Astyanax mexicanus: one gene and its partner. Each later gene encodes a partner of the first gene's protein in a complex. Links are inferred from orthologs where the notes say so. Each region holds a gene or a part of one and is shown on either strand. Other genes may lie near its edges.

Evidence for each region. The genes of interacting proteins can lie anywhere in the genome.
Region 2: the proteins of sptlc2a (region 1) and ormdl3 are in contact, whole or in part, in a cryo-EM structure (PDB 7K0O), measured with the Homo sapiens proteins. The link is inferred for Astyanax mexicanus from reciprocal best matches to the Homo sapiens genes SPTLC2 and ORMDL3. Residues at the interface, in NP_004854.1 of Homo sapiens: Glu65, Thr66, Pro67, Met68, Ala71, Val72, Tyr75, Tyr86, Gln116, Phe118, Glu119, Asn120, Phe121, Tyr122, Tyr127, Trp134, Asp259, Glu260, Leu261, Asn262, Val267, Arg271, Ile279, Met320, Val495, Val496, Gly497, Phe498, Pro499, Ala500; in NP_001307730.1 of Homo sapiens: Met1, Asn2, Val3, Gly4, Thr5, Ala6, His7, Ser8, Pro12, Val16, Ser19, Arg20, Gly21, Ile22, Leu24, Ser25, Leu28, Phe63, Val67, Lys68, Gly69, Thr70, Pro71, Phe72, Glu73, Pro75, Gln77, Arg81.

What each region holds. Positions count from the first base shown.
Region 1 is NC_064421.1:6,544,141-6,551,236, forward strand, and holds the start of sptlc2a (serine palmitoyltransferase 2), read right to left. Parts: upstream 3,094-7,096; 5' UTR 2,948-3,093; coding exon 2,783-2,947; intron 1-2,782. UniProt on the Homo sapiens protein: Component of the serine palmitoyltransferase multisubunit enzyme (SPT) that catalyzes the initial and rate-limiting step in sphingolipid biosynthesis by condensing L-serine and activated acyl-CoA (most commonly palmitoyl-CoA) to form long-chain bases.
Region 2 is NC_064422.1:44,020,909-44,028,932, reverse strand, and holds the start of ormdl3 (ORM1-like protein 3), read right to left. Parts: upstream 2,982-8,024; 5' UTR 2,973-2,981; intron 1-2,972. Other genes in the region: wnt3 (proto-oncogene Wnt-3), read left to right, coding at 2,982-3,223. UniProt on the Homo sapiens protein: Plays an essential role in the homeostatic regulation of sphingolipid de novo biosynthesis by modulating the activity of the serine palmitoyltransferase (SPT) in response to ceramide levels.

The DNA.
Region 1 (7,096 bases):
ACAATATTTTTTACTCTATTTAACGTACATGTTATGACATGCACCTCCCCAGAAATGTATTTACGTACTACGGTGTCACAGGTGCAGTAGCTGTGATTGGTCCACATGTACCTGCCTACACATTCAAATGTTTGCGGTTTAAACACACAAGCATAAACGCACACAGCGGTTTAGGCCTCATGCACAGGCTACACTATAGATAACATGCTGACTCGACACATAGGTATCCTTCCTAAACCATCCTTTAGGGTTCCTCCCCTTTGACGACCTGGAAAAACATCCTGCTAACGGCAACCATGCACTTCCATTTCAAACTCAAACTTTCCTTTTAGTTTTGATGCAGTTTTATATATATTTTGAGGAAAATAGCAGGTGCCATTTATTTTTGTCTACCCGTATGTTAGTTATGGTAGTTTTGGGTTTGTGTAATTTTTGATTCCCTTGTTCTCAAGTATAGTTTCCCAAATTGTGTAAAAATTGTGTCATCCTGGTTTAAGAAATCTGAATGTGGGAAAGAGACCCCTGGGCTTTATAATCAAAAAAGCTAAAAAAAAAACAACATGCTGAACTATAAACCATCCTTTAGGCTTCCTCTAATTTAATGACCTGGAAAAGCATCCTGCTCAAATCAATCCAGCACTTCCATTTCACAATGTGATCCATTTTAATTTTGTTGCAGTTTTCATATATGTTTAGAGCAAAAGTAGGTGGTAAGTCAAATCTAACAGGGAGTTGTGTTAGTTTTGCGTATTTTTAATTCCTTTGATCTCAGGTTTAATAGAGTGGTGTAATTTTGGCATATGCTCACTCCTTGAAATTTTATTTTCCATGTTGTGTCAACAAAATCATCCTGGTTATAAAATATGTATAGTGTACAGTGTTCAGTGTTTGGTCTAGGGAGAGAGGGTGGTGCCCAACCCTCCTTCTGGATACTGTATCTCTCACCTTGCGTACTTGTTCTTTCCCAACCCTGATCAAACATACACACACACACACACACACCTGACCCACCCATCTAGATGGGAGGAGAAAGCAGATCTTACACTAATGTTTGAATGGCTTCTGAACTCCCTCCTGAACACCCCCTCACCCAACCGTAGGAGGTTCTGAAACAGATGAGGAGAACTGGTGGTGGAGAGCTAGCTAAGATGTTTCTTTTGTATGTATTTAGAAGATATATCTTACAGTTATTTAACTTGTTTTACAGTTATTTATCTTGTTATCTAGTTAGCTAGGTAACTGAGGTCGGACAGAAGTTCAAAAAGCGTAAACTATTCCCTTATCAAACACAGATCTCTGTTAACAGGACTTAACCCAGAAATTAAACCACCTGTAAAAGCTTATTATCATCTATATAGCTAGTTAACTAACTAACTAGGTTAGAAATATCAGTTAGAAAGCTGCTCCTGAAGAACAGAAGTTCAGAAACAAGAAACTATTCATTTAATCCTTAAACAAAAATCTAATACCAGTGACACAGTATAGCTAATTAATCACTAATCCACTTCTCCTATATAACTGCAGTAATATTATCTATGTTTAAGGATTAAAGGAATTGTTTCTTCTTTCTGAACTTCTGTTCTTCAGGAACAGCCTTTTAACATATTTTCTTACCTAGTTAGTTAGTAAACTAGCTATATAGGTAAAAAAAAATGGGCTATTACAGGTGGTTTAACTTCTGTTTTAGGTCCTGTAAACAGAGATCTGTGTTTGATTATAGGAATAATGTGCTATTTCTAAACTTCAGATCTTCAGGAACAGCCTTCAAGTAGATTTTTCCAACCAAGTTAGTTAGTTAGTAAACTAGCAATATAGGTGAAAATAAACTTTTACAGGTGGTTTACTTCTGGGTTAACTCCTGCTAGAGGTCTGTGTTTAAGGAATACATTAATAATTTCCAATTTCTGAACTTCTGTTCTTCAGGATTAGCATTCTAACTGATGTTTCTAGTAATATAGTATGGCTAATTGATCACTAATCCACTTTTCCTATAAAACTACAGTTATAGCTACACTTCTCTTAACTCCTGCTAGAGATCTGTGTTTAAGGATTATAGAAATAGTTTCTTATTTCTGAACTTCTGTTCTTCAGGAACAGCCTTCTACCAGTAACTGTTATATAGGACAAATGGATTAGTGATTAATTAGCTATACTGTATTATTAAGTTAGTTAGGTAAGTAGGGTATGTTAACTGAAACTCTGATAACCAGGAAGATCTCTAGCAGGAGTTAAGAGAAGTGTAGCTATAACTGTAGTTACATAGGTGAAGTGGATTAGTGATTAATTAGCTATACTGTATTATACTGTATTATTGAGTTAGTTAGGTAAGTAGGGTAGTAGGGGTGGGCGATATGGCTCTAAAATAATATCATGATATTTCAGGGTATTTTTGCGATAACGTTATACTTGGCGATATAGGAAAACTAAAATAATCCATTCATTTCAGGAATATAGTATAATAGTATAACAGAATAATCATAATGTGGCAAAATTATACAATAAATACACCTAAAGCTTCACAGTAAATAATAATAGACTACTTTTAATTACGATATGGATTTTTAATATCACGATATTTCTGTGTCACGATATATTGTATACGATATAATATTGCCCACTCCTATAGGGTAGGTTAACTGAAACTCTGGTAACTAGGAAGTGTGTTTAGCTAGTTAGCTATCCAGGCTAAACACCGCTAAGCTAGTTAGTAAACCTATCTATAAACATAAAGCTACATGTTTGAGGACCCACACACACTTATCCAGGTATCCAGCCTGCTCACCTTCTCCTCCGCGTAGCTGCTGGGCTTCTTGTGGTGGTGCTTCTGGTTCTTCACCCAGCCGTTCCTCCCCACTTTCAGCCCGTTCGCCGCGCCGTGCCCCGGACCGCCGTTCGCCTCCCTGATCGCTGAGCTCTCCGTCATGCTTGTCTTCGACCCAAAGCGCATGCGATCACATACATGAAGCGCGTGCGGGAAGCGGGGGCGATGGTGGGCGATAGGTAGAGCGGTAACCGGGCAATAACACGATCTGCCCTCCCAGAGAAACCCCCAACAGCCCAACAACCACCACCACAGCGACCAGGAACCTGAAATTCCACCCGCTGCATACCGGAAATCAACGCCCATGGAAACCACACCCAGCCAATCGCTGAGCTCCGTTTAGCATAGTGGGCGTTGTAAAGCGTTTGACGCAACCTCAACCAATGGCCACGATCTGTTTTTAATAGGGGGCGTGACTCCCGTGGCCTTCTGGTTTCAGTCATACCAGAGTCATAAGTTCCATTATAATACATTGTATATCCAAAGGTGAATCTTTCATTGCCCACATTAAAAGTGAACGATTGTAATTTACTTTACATTAAGTGTAATAATACGACTATCATTACATTACATTACATTACATTTACATTTGGCAGACGCTTTTGTCCAAAGCGACTTACAATAGTGAAGTACAAAAGTAATAGAAGTTAAAAGGTAAAAAACATCTTTAGATAGGGCCTTAAGGAAGTCAAAGGGAATAATGGGATAGAGGAGTAGAGGAGAAACGAAACGAGGTTAGAAGTACATTATCAATGATGGTTTGAGACAAAATATTTACTGTAAATATAATATAAATTCTTTAAAATAACTTCCTAATACATATGATAAAAATATGAAATTATATATAGCTCACTTCAGATTTGCCAAATGGCCCATATCTCCTAAAGTGAAAGATTTTTTAAAATAATAAATAACCTGTAGCCCCTTTTCTTAAGAGAAGATTTAAATTTGAAGTTGATTTATGTGACTTTTGTCAGAAGTCAGAAGATGAATCTCTGAAACATTTGTTTGTTTTTTTTATGTCAATATTCACAGATTTTTTTTTTGGACGGACATTAGAAATTGGATTAATATCAAACTCAGCTTCCCTTCTTTTGATGTAGGTGATATTTTATTTATACTTATTTTTATATAGTATTTAAAAATATATATTTATTCATTTATTTATTAATAAAAATACATTTATCAACAAAATTAATATACATTAAATTCAGCAGGTAACATCCAGCTAAGATCCACTGTCTTGACAAAGGGCGTTGCACAAACTTTTACAATTTTTGTTATACATATTTTATGATGTATAGCTTAAATTCCATGTTAAACTCATATTTAAAATAAAATAAATATAACTGAATGAATGATCTCTTGGGTTGCCTCTGTCGTTACCACCAATAGGAGCCCTATATTTTGCAGAAAGGGCGTGGCCGAACCGGCACGACATTCCTGAGCCAATGAAAGCGCTACTTTTGAACGCTGGGCGTTTCTACAGAGTTTCAGTCCAGTGAGATGAACTCTAGTAACCCCCAGGTAGAAATGTGCGGCGTTTCCTCTCCAGGCTTAACTGAAGCCTGAAGCAAAGGGACATGTGATCTTCCTACAGACTCAGGTGTGTCTGAAATCCTCAGGGTGGTAGATTAGATCTCCAGGTCCAGAAATAAACACTTAGCCCTGTCCTATTAGTCCTAAAGCTAAAGAAATACACGCTTTAAAAAATACAACAGTACAGCAGTATACCCTGTCAATTACTTACTACATAAAAGATTTACATATCAGACAGGCTCATGCAGTTTCTGTGATGGAGAGACTGAAGAGTCTATTGAACATGTATTTGTTAAATTAAATTACAGTTGTGTTAAATTACAGTAATTTATTTATTTATAAATAACTTACTAAGTTATTTATTTATTTATTTATTTATTTATTTACTTTGATCTGATATTCATTACTGGATTTCAGAAAAAAATTAATGACAAACCAAATTGTACTTACAATGACATACTTTTTATCATATGGGCTGAAATAAAAACTACAAACATTTCAGATTTAGTTAATCTATTTATTATTTTGGGTAAATGTCATATTCTGCATATTCTTTACCTGTTTATACATGATTTTGCATGCTTTTCAAGTCACTATAATATGTTAAGAAAATTAAAAGCAAAACAAAAAAATAAATATTTGAAAAGCACAGTCCCTGCTTTTAATTTGAATTTTAACTGTGTGAAACTTGACTTGTACTGCCTTCATATTGCCTTTTATTTTATTTTCTTTTATTAGTTTTATTTTGTTGATGCATGCAGCTTCTCACAATCTCGTTTTTTTTGTATGTACACTTATGCTCCATTTCTTGTTTTGAATATTGCCATATTCATTGAATAATAATAATAACTATAATAAAAATAATAAAAAAGGCATAAACACTAAGGTAGTCATGGAAGTTGTGTATAATGTTATCATCAAACAACAGAATCATCATCAAAAAACTGTGTATGTTAGGCCTCAAATAAATAAATAAAGATTTTTCATTCTTTTGACTAAATTTAGAGGGAGCTCTCATAATTTCGCTGATAAATCATATTTTATGAAATTAATCACTTCATATTTTCAGGTGCATGCATTTGTCCACCCTGTCATGCCAAGCTGCATGACAGGATGGACAATTTCAGCAAAAATGTTTTTTTTTGACAAAAATGTGGTTGGTCTATAGGTGCAGACATGTGGAATTGTCAAATGATTTTAATGTATTGTACCGCAACAGGGTGAGCAGCTTAAAGTGACAGTCAGTAAGTTATTACTTTAAATGAACACATTATTGCAAATATTGTTCACATTTTATACAGTTTTCTTTGATGTCAGGGTGTTTTTTTACAATGTCCACAGTATGTTGGCTGGTTTAACAACACATTTCTTATTAAATAAAGTTTAAAAATAAATATTTCCTCAAAAATTAGATTAAAATGATATTTGGCATATTAATTTTTTTTATGAATTAAATTTTTGTCCACAAATTCTCTGTTTACCCTATTATCTTGGGAACCTCTAACATCAGTGACTTCACAACTTTTAATACTGTTTTATACAGTTTTCATACCCTATCACTAGTGATGCCACAACACAAGGAGGGAGAAGCCTAGCACATGCCTCCTCCGACACATGTGAAGTCAGACTCCGCCTCTTTTCGAGCTAGTGCTGCGAGTAGCATCACAGCAGCTTTCGGAGGAAAGTGCAGCGACTCGGTTCTGATACATCAGCTCACAGACGCAGCCTTGTGCTGATCCACGTCACCCTAGGAGTGATGAGGGGAAAGAGCACATCTACTGTACCCACCCAGAGAGAGCAAGGCCAATTGTGCTCTCTCAGGGCTACAGTAGCTGATGGCAAGCTGCATGAACAGGATTTAAACTGGTGACATAATGTTTTATTTTAAAGGCACTTACGACACTTGCTGCTGCATGTTCAGAAATTAACAATATTAATTTAACTTAATATTTCTCTTATTGTCTCTATACTTAGCTTAAAGAGGTAAAGCTTAAGTTTTACCCTATAGTGGAAGAGAGAGAAGGAAAGGAGGGGGGAAGGAAATGAGTTTAGAAGCAGTTAGTTTGTTAGGGGTGTTAAGTGAGTACAGGATGCTGGATGAGATGATCACCACCCCACATCACACACCCCTGCAAATCCATAATTCATCCCATTCAAAAGTATTGGATGGAGCTCCATCATTCCAGAGATCACAGTTTCAGTTCTCCACAGCTTAATGCTGGGGCTTCATACCCCTCTAGCCCATACCTGGCATTAGGCATGGTGCCAATAGATTAATATTTCTCTGCTCCAGACAGTCCTATACTATTATACACTGGCACTTCTTTACTTCTTTTGCACAAGCTGTGTATGTTTACTTGCACATCTGTGTCAACAGCAATGGGCCCAGCTTATTAAATTAAATGCATTCATTAGAAGGGGTGTCTGTAAACTTTTGGACATACAGTATAATATATGATACAGTAACCTGCTTCTGTTAATCTGCCAGGCAACACGGCACACTGGCCATGTTTGAACAGCGCTGCAGGATTCTGTGTTTGCATTTGTTTAATTTGCTAAAATGGGAAAATCAACATGGTCCACATTAAAATTCATAAGATCTCAGTACATACACCCTGTATGCCCAATTACTTGTAGACACTAAATCTACTGTAGAACTAATGAATGTTACATTCAGCCACTTTAAATTGCACCCATTGCTGACACAGATGTGCAAATGCAAACACACATCTTGTC
Region 2 (8,024 bases), on another chromosome or scaffold:
AACTGTCCTCCCACACACACTTTTAAAGCACTTAATATGATCTAATATTTGATTAACCTTTCCAGAAAGGGGTGAGAGGAAGAGACGGAGAAAGTAAATGAGTTTATTTGACATATAATATTGAATAAACTAAGCAGAACTACTGCTTAGAGGATGGGAGTTCAGCTGTGTTTGAGCCTGTCATAACAGCAAACATGTTAAAACACAGGCATGGTGAATGTCATAGCATTTCTCTTTCTTTGTTCTTACATTCGGGTGAAAAAGAAGGCAATTAAAATGAATTATGTGAATGAAATGTAATGGTTTCTGGCACGGCTGTTTTGGTGAGGTGGTACCGAGGCCGTGTTTAGGCAGATGCTCCGCACGGAGCAGCGCTCGCTCTCTGGAATGCCTTTCGTCAGCTATCAGTCAGCTACTGCGCACAAGCATTCACACTTAAACACCACAGTCCTGCACACCACAAGGCAGCGGAAGGCAGCGAGCCAAGAGTCTGACTCAGATCTCAGGTATCAAAGGTTACACCTCAGTGAAAGTTAAGTAAATGTGAGACTCAGCCAATTAATACAAGTTCAGAAAGACAGCGAAGAACAAAAACAGTTTAGTTAAATAACTACAAATAAACATCTGAGGATGAAACGATGCTCTAATATCAACACATCAACACTGCTGCATGTAGGATGGTTATAATATTACAGTCAGATTAATGGGGTCTAACTCGATTAATGACTGTGTTCTTAAAGCCAGTGAAGAACACAAACAAACACATACGCTATTTATCTGGATCAGTCTCATTTTTCTTGGTAAACAGACACTGTGTATTGTGGGGAGGCCTGCTTGTTTCTACCTTTAACTTCTATTACTTTTGTACTTCATTATTGTAAGTCGCTTTGGACAAAAGCATCTGCCAAATGTAATGTAATGTAATGAAATGTAATGTTCATTAAGTGTATAAGGCCATTATACACTGTTAAAGTATACTTTCCTTGAGTAACTGTTTTTTATCAATATGTTTACTTAACAAAAAGATAAATACTTTAATTAATAAAGGTGTTAGTTAACAAATGTGAATATGTTATATAATAAACACAAGGTATGCATATTTATAAAAACGGTGAAGGACAGCATTACTTTGTACAAGCACATCAAGGTCATTAATTACCTCATATATTAATTCTCAATTTGTAATGGTTGGAAGATAACATAAAAGTGACGAATTGTCCCAAACTGCATAAATTAAAAATAATCTTTTCAGATGGAACATAAGAATAGAGTTATTTTATCCACATTGAGGAATTAGGTGGTTTTAGTGTTTTTTTTGTCTCATTCCTTAATTTTTTTAATTCATTCTAAAATGTCTAGTTGTGCTCCGGTGATCCGGTATAACGCTGCTTTAGTCCGGTGGAGGAGTGGGTGGAGGGGAGAAATGATAGGATTTCGGCTCTTGCTCATGAATATTCACACATGCAAACATATCGCCTCTGATTGACTAACAGCACTGCAACACCAGGAGGCAGCGAGATGAACAACAGTTAGAAATGTTTTAAAATAAAGACATTTTTTACACTAATAACAGTCTTTGCAGTGTCATATGTTACTGTCATATATGATTAGTATATGCAGTTCAGCCACTGACCGAGTCTTAGAATCTCTGTAAAACAGCGTTTCTCAACCTTTTTTCTATCACGGCACCCTTTAAATATATGCGAGATGTCAAGGCACCCCAGTTTACGGACGGGGGGGGAGGTGCTGGCGCAGTACTTCAGGTGAGAACGAGGGGTGTTGCTGGCGGAATATGAAATAAAATAGCGCGTGCATCGCGTGGGGGGACAAAAACTTTACAGTGTGTCCCAATTTAGGGGCTGCATCCTTCAGAGGCTGTATTCGAAGACAGATTGCGTCACAGCTGCGCAGTAATACACCGCCTCTGTGGGTCGCATCCTTCAGAGTATGCTGCCTGTGAATTGGGACACACCCCGACACGAGCTGACTCTGGAAAGGAAATATGCACGTGAAGCGCAATATTTTGACGGCACCCCCGATGAAGCCAGGCGGCACCCTGGTTGAGAAACACTGCTGTAAAACACCAAATCCACTGAAGATCCTATTTAAACCTATAGTTACACACCTTTTTTACTTTTAACTAGTGTAAACAGAATTTTACAGAACAATTATATAACCCCTCTTGACAGTGTGGGGGAGCCCCTAAAAATGCTTTAACGTCCTAGCACAACTCTAAAATGTTGCTCTACAAGGGCCTGGTGTCCTCTTAAGAGGCCATTATACTGTCACTTAGTGGTGGCAAAAGAATTTTACACATTACAGTATGATTTTCTTCAGAAATTTAAATAAACAGTAAATACAGTAAAAGTTTATGCTATTTACTTTATGTCTTTGTTTTGAAGTTGAATCTTCAAATGAGCCAAATTTCTACTTATATTTTGCACTCAGGCACAAAATAAATGTTTTGCACATCATTACTAACTACAAACTTCATTGTGTTCTATAGAAATATAAAACTAAAGTCCTCATATGTGGACATACAGAAACTATATTATGTAAAAAGACATTTCTTTGTTTTTACACTAATAAAGTGCCAATTAGCCCAAATAGCAAAGAGAAATAAAAAAAAATGCATGCCATGCAAGAGTTTCTTTCAAGAAAAGGTTTTTGGAAGAAAATTGTTGATGGTTCCTTGAAGACCCCAATGGATTCTTCTACACAGTCCCTCTATTCTCTCTCATTTACTAAAATTCATATTTCTAAAACAAAAGAAATCAAAGTGTTGAAACAATAGGAAAATTCTAAGACTACACATTGTCTCTTGACTGCATTTACTTTTCCTCTACGTATCGACTGAAAAACTGTACTATACTGTACTTGTGTTGTAACATGCTGTACATCTTACACGCTGTACACACTTCCACCCTCTCTAATGTAATGGGTAGTTTTTCTGATGCATGTTCTCCCGTTACCTGTTGCAGGTCCCTGGCTCTGGGGCAGCAGTACTCATCCCTGGGCTCCCAGCCCATCCTCTGCGGATCCATTCCTGGCCTGGTTCCCAAGCAGCTGCGCTTCTGCCGCAACTACATCGAGATCATGCCCAGCGTGGCCGAGGGCGTCAAACTGGGCATCCAGGAGTGCCAGCATCAGTTCCGTGGCCGCAGATGGAACTGCACCACCATAAAGGACAACCTGGCCATCTTCGGTCCTGTGCTGGACAAAGGTAAAATACATTAAATACAGAATGTCAATCACTTTTCTGCTATGTGTTTGCTTTGGAATATTACTTTGAAGGTGTGCTCAGGTAGCTAATGGCTTTATCAGCTCTTGAGATACAATCAGAACAGAATACACTTACGGAAACACTGGTTTTAGAATAATTAATAATTAATAATAATATAATGAATAAAATGCATCATTTAGAATGGTTGTTCCCCAAGAACCCACCACTAATACAGAAGATGCTGAGGGTTTAACACATGGTTTAGAGCAGGCCTGTCCCAATGACTACTATTTTATGTCAGTTACTTTATAACAATAAAGTCAATATCAAAAAATTAGAATATCCTTAATATAGTTACTTTATTTTAGTAATTCAGTCCAAAATCTGAAACTCTCATACAGCTCTGGAAAAAATTAGGAAACCACTTCAGTTTCTGAATCAGTTTCTCTGATTTTGCTATTTATAGGTTTATATTTGAGTAAAATGAACATTGTTGTTTTATTCTATAAACTACAGACAACATTTCTCCCAAATTCCAAATAAAAATATTGTCATTTAGAGCATTTATTTACAGAAAATGAGAAATGGCCGAAATAACAAAAAATGATGCAGAGCTTTCAGACCTGCAAATAAAACAAGTTCATATTCATAAAGTTCAGAAATCAATATTTGGTGGAATAACCCTGGTTTTTAATCACAGTTTTCATGCATCTTGGCATCATGTTCTCCTCCACCAGTCTTACACACTGCTTTTGGATAACTTTGTCTTTACTCCTGGTGCAAAAATTCAAGCAGTTCAGATTGTTTTAAAGGCTTTTGATCATACATCTTCCTCTTGATTATATTTTTTTCCAGAGCTGTATTATATAGATGTATTAAACACAGAGTGATCTATTTTTAGCGGTTATTTTAGTTAATCGTTGATGATTATGGCTTAAGGCCAATGAAAACCCAAAAATCAGTGCCTCAGAAAATTGGAATATTAAATAAGACCAAATGGTACTTTTGGCAGTGTGGGCAGTGTGCCAAGTCCTGCTGGAAAATGAAATCGCATTTTTCCCATATTGTGCAGCCCTACTAAAAAAAACGTACCGAAAACATAACAAAAATGTACCGAACCCTTGGGTTCATAATGAGGTTACACCCCTTAGTATATCACAGACAAAAGCAACCAAAAATTGTGCAGACGTAACGGATATCTGCTGAAAAAACTCCACCGCCATGCTTTAATAACACTCACAGTGTGAAATTGGCGATTATGTTTATTCCTCTGCCTTTATTCCTGCATTTCTTTTAAACAAAAGACAGTGAAGAAGACAATGGGTGATCTAAATGAGCAGAAACTCTGCTGAGCGACAGATAGTGGAGGTGGCCTATCTCCTTATCTCCTTATCTCCCTCTGCGGCAGATCCCCAGATCCCCGAGGGTGAAGATGAGCAGCCCCTGATGGAGAGCAGCGCTAGCCTGGCCGCGAGTGTTAGTGTTAGTGAGTGAATGAGAGAGAGAAAAAGAGAGAGAGAGAGAGAGAGAGAGAGAGAGATGGGGAGGCCAAATGAGATTACAAGCAATAGAAAAGGGCTGAGATGGGGGGTGTTGGGGGGTTCCGCTCAACCCCTACTGTGCGTGAAGGCCAGTATGAGCCATCTCTGTGTGCCTCTTACAGCCCGGCTCCCACGAACGCCCCATTCACACGCCCTTTTGACTGTGTCATGAAAACGGGCTGAAAGGGAATCTCCCAACCTTCCCCATCAGGAAGGGGGTGCAGTGATGGGCAGAGGAGAGAGGTTGGCCATGGTGAAGAGGGGGAGAGGTCAGAGAGAGAGAGAGAGAGTGAAGGAGAGAGAGAGGAAGATACAGGGAAGCCAGTGGTTTTCAATATATTGAGGGTTTATTTAAGAAACAATCCAACCCGGGGTGAGAAGGAAAAAGAAAGGCTCCAGGGTTCATGGTTGGTGTGTGCATGTCGCTGCTGGGATAAATGGGGGGGTGCTCCTGTTGGGAATGCCAGGCCGGCTCTGGGCAGAGCTAAGCTGGGCTGTGGGGGTGTGGGGGTGCCGGGCCCTTTTGTGCGGGTAATACAGTGTGACACCAGAGAGACAAAGGCGGATTCATGGGCCCAGCAGGTAGCGGGAGCAGCGCTCCGTTTGGCTCGGGGCCAGAGCTCCTGGGGCCCTCAGCTCACAGCACTCTGTTGTAGTCAACCCAGCTGGGCCTGCCAGAACCAACCGGGCCTCATTCTGGCCTCCCACCCTGAGAGGTGTGTGCCCAAACACACAAACATCAGGAGAAAAGAGCAGTGAAGCGGTGTGTGTGTGTTGTGTCCCCTTAGAATAAAACAACAACAGAACATACATACAAAACGTAAAACACACATTAAGAGTAGGGGTGGGTATCGTCACTGATTTCCCAGTTCGATTCGATTCTGATTCACAAGTAGGCTTGTCACTAGTGCTGTGTGATATGATGATAAATATCATGGGGACCCTATCGTTTCTACAGTAATTTCATCAATTATTGATGCAAATATATAAAGTAGGCTACAATAAAAATCTATTGGCATGGTCACTTTGCATGAACTCGGTTTATATAAGTGATAATAAAGTAATCTTCGCTTAAATTAAAAAAGCTTCATAATGTGATTTTGCAGCATGACGCTGCTGTACGTTATTTGATTCAAAATCGATTAATTTAGGTACATTTCTGTTACAATAAAAACTGTACTTTAAATATGAAATGTTGTAATTATACAAGAAACACAATTAGTGTTTATTTTATATCGACTTATATAAACACAACAGTTTTTATTTCAATTATTCTTTTAATATAATTTAATGTAGCTTAGTTAATTGCGACACCGTGCTTCACGTCTCTATACAGGTTTGTTATGTCCACTTTACTCAAATGTTTATGTGTGGGTAAAATATGATCCAGAACATTAATGAGGCTTTGAAAGCCTTCGTTTTTAACAATACTATACATATATACTGACATTTTAGTTATAGAAAACAGAAATATAACATGTTTCATAAATTTCTGTAAAAGTGTGAAATTTACCCAGACCCACTAGTTCAGATTTGATACAACAATAAGCAAAGTTTAGTGCACCGGCCGCATGTAAGGCTAGTAAACCCGGCTAAAGGGGGATTAGCTTCCCCGGTGATTTGGCTAACCCACTAAGCTAACAGTAGATTCAGCCAGTCAGGTCTTACTTTAAAATAGAGTACAGGCTGAAACAACACTGGAAAACAACTTAAAACAGTGTTAAATGTACTAGTTTGATAAACACAAGGTAGCATTAAGTGGAAATACAGAAGAAAATTACTTACATTTTTACAGAAACTCTCCGCAGGTAAGATTTATGACCAGAGAAACTTATAAAAATCTATTAACATTAATGTATCTTAATAACATAACGACAGCGCTGTGGAGTTGTGATTATTAGGAATACTGTAAAATATGTGTACTTATTGTGGTGGTTTATTATAACGGCGACAAGTTCTCAAATTAATTCAGGCTTTATGTAAAACATAAAACAAGACAAGAAAAGCTGAGCACCTTAAGAATTTTCAGAAGAAAAAAAAACTAAATTTTTTAAAAAAGTGTTGAAATGAATGACTCAGCAGTTCCTTCCCAGTATGACAGCATGATGAGGAGGAAAAAAAATCACCTGACGACATCCTGAGTCACACTCCCAGCCAGGTTAATAAACCTGACCTCTCACCTCACCTTTCACCTTTTAGGATAGGTAATATTACACAGACTAGAGGTGCCAAAAATGTGGCCAAAAATATTTGTTAAAAATTGTTTAGGGGAATAAAAATTTACTGCGCTTTTTAAATAAATATGTCTAACAAATCTTTGAGATGGCACTTAGTTTAGCTAACATATACAGCTTTGGAAAAAAAGAGACCACATTAGTTTTATTCTATAAACTACAGACAACATTTCTCCCAAATTCCAAATAAAAATATTGTAATTTAGAGCATTTATTTACAGAAAATGAGAAATGGCTGAAATAACAAAAAAGATGCAGAACTTTCAGACCTCAAATAATGCAAAGAAAACAAGTTCATATTCATAAAGTTCAGAAGTTCAGAAATAAATCAATATTTGGTGGAATTACCCTGATGGTTTTTAATCACAGTTTTTTTCATGCATCTTGGCATCATGTTCTCCTCCACCAGTCTTACACACTGCTTTTGGATAACTTTATGCTGCTTTACTACTGGTGCTGCTTTTGTAATGTTTTGTAATGTTTTCTTAAACAATCAAAAATCAAAACTACAATCAAAAATTATAGTACCATGTAGGAGATGTACCATATCGTATCGTACGCAATAGTATAACCAAATATTCTGACATGATATAACTCCTTATAGTGATATCACAATATACTTGAAAGCTATTTAATATATTTACATGTAATTGTATGTTTGCCGTTTAGATGCCCCAGGGAATACAGATGAAAATAAGCTTTTTAGCTAACTCTGGCACATTTACATTGATGTTGAAACGGAAATGTTTATCAAAATAGGAGATGCTGCACTATACATTTTTATTGTTACACTGATTTGGTGAGTTAATATTTACAAACTAATCATTTATAAACTTGCAGTAGTACATTCTTTAAATTATTATTATTGTTTTAAATACCATGTTTTGTCATACCAACATAAATATCATTATCGCAAAAATACCCTGAAATATTGTGACACATTTTAGGGCCTTATTGCCCATCCCTAGTAAAAATTCTAACTTTTTTCAATGGATTTTAAGTATGTAAAGTTGTAAAATGAATGAC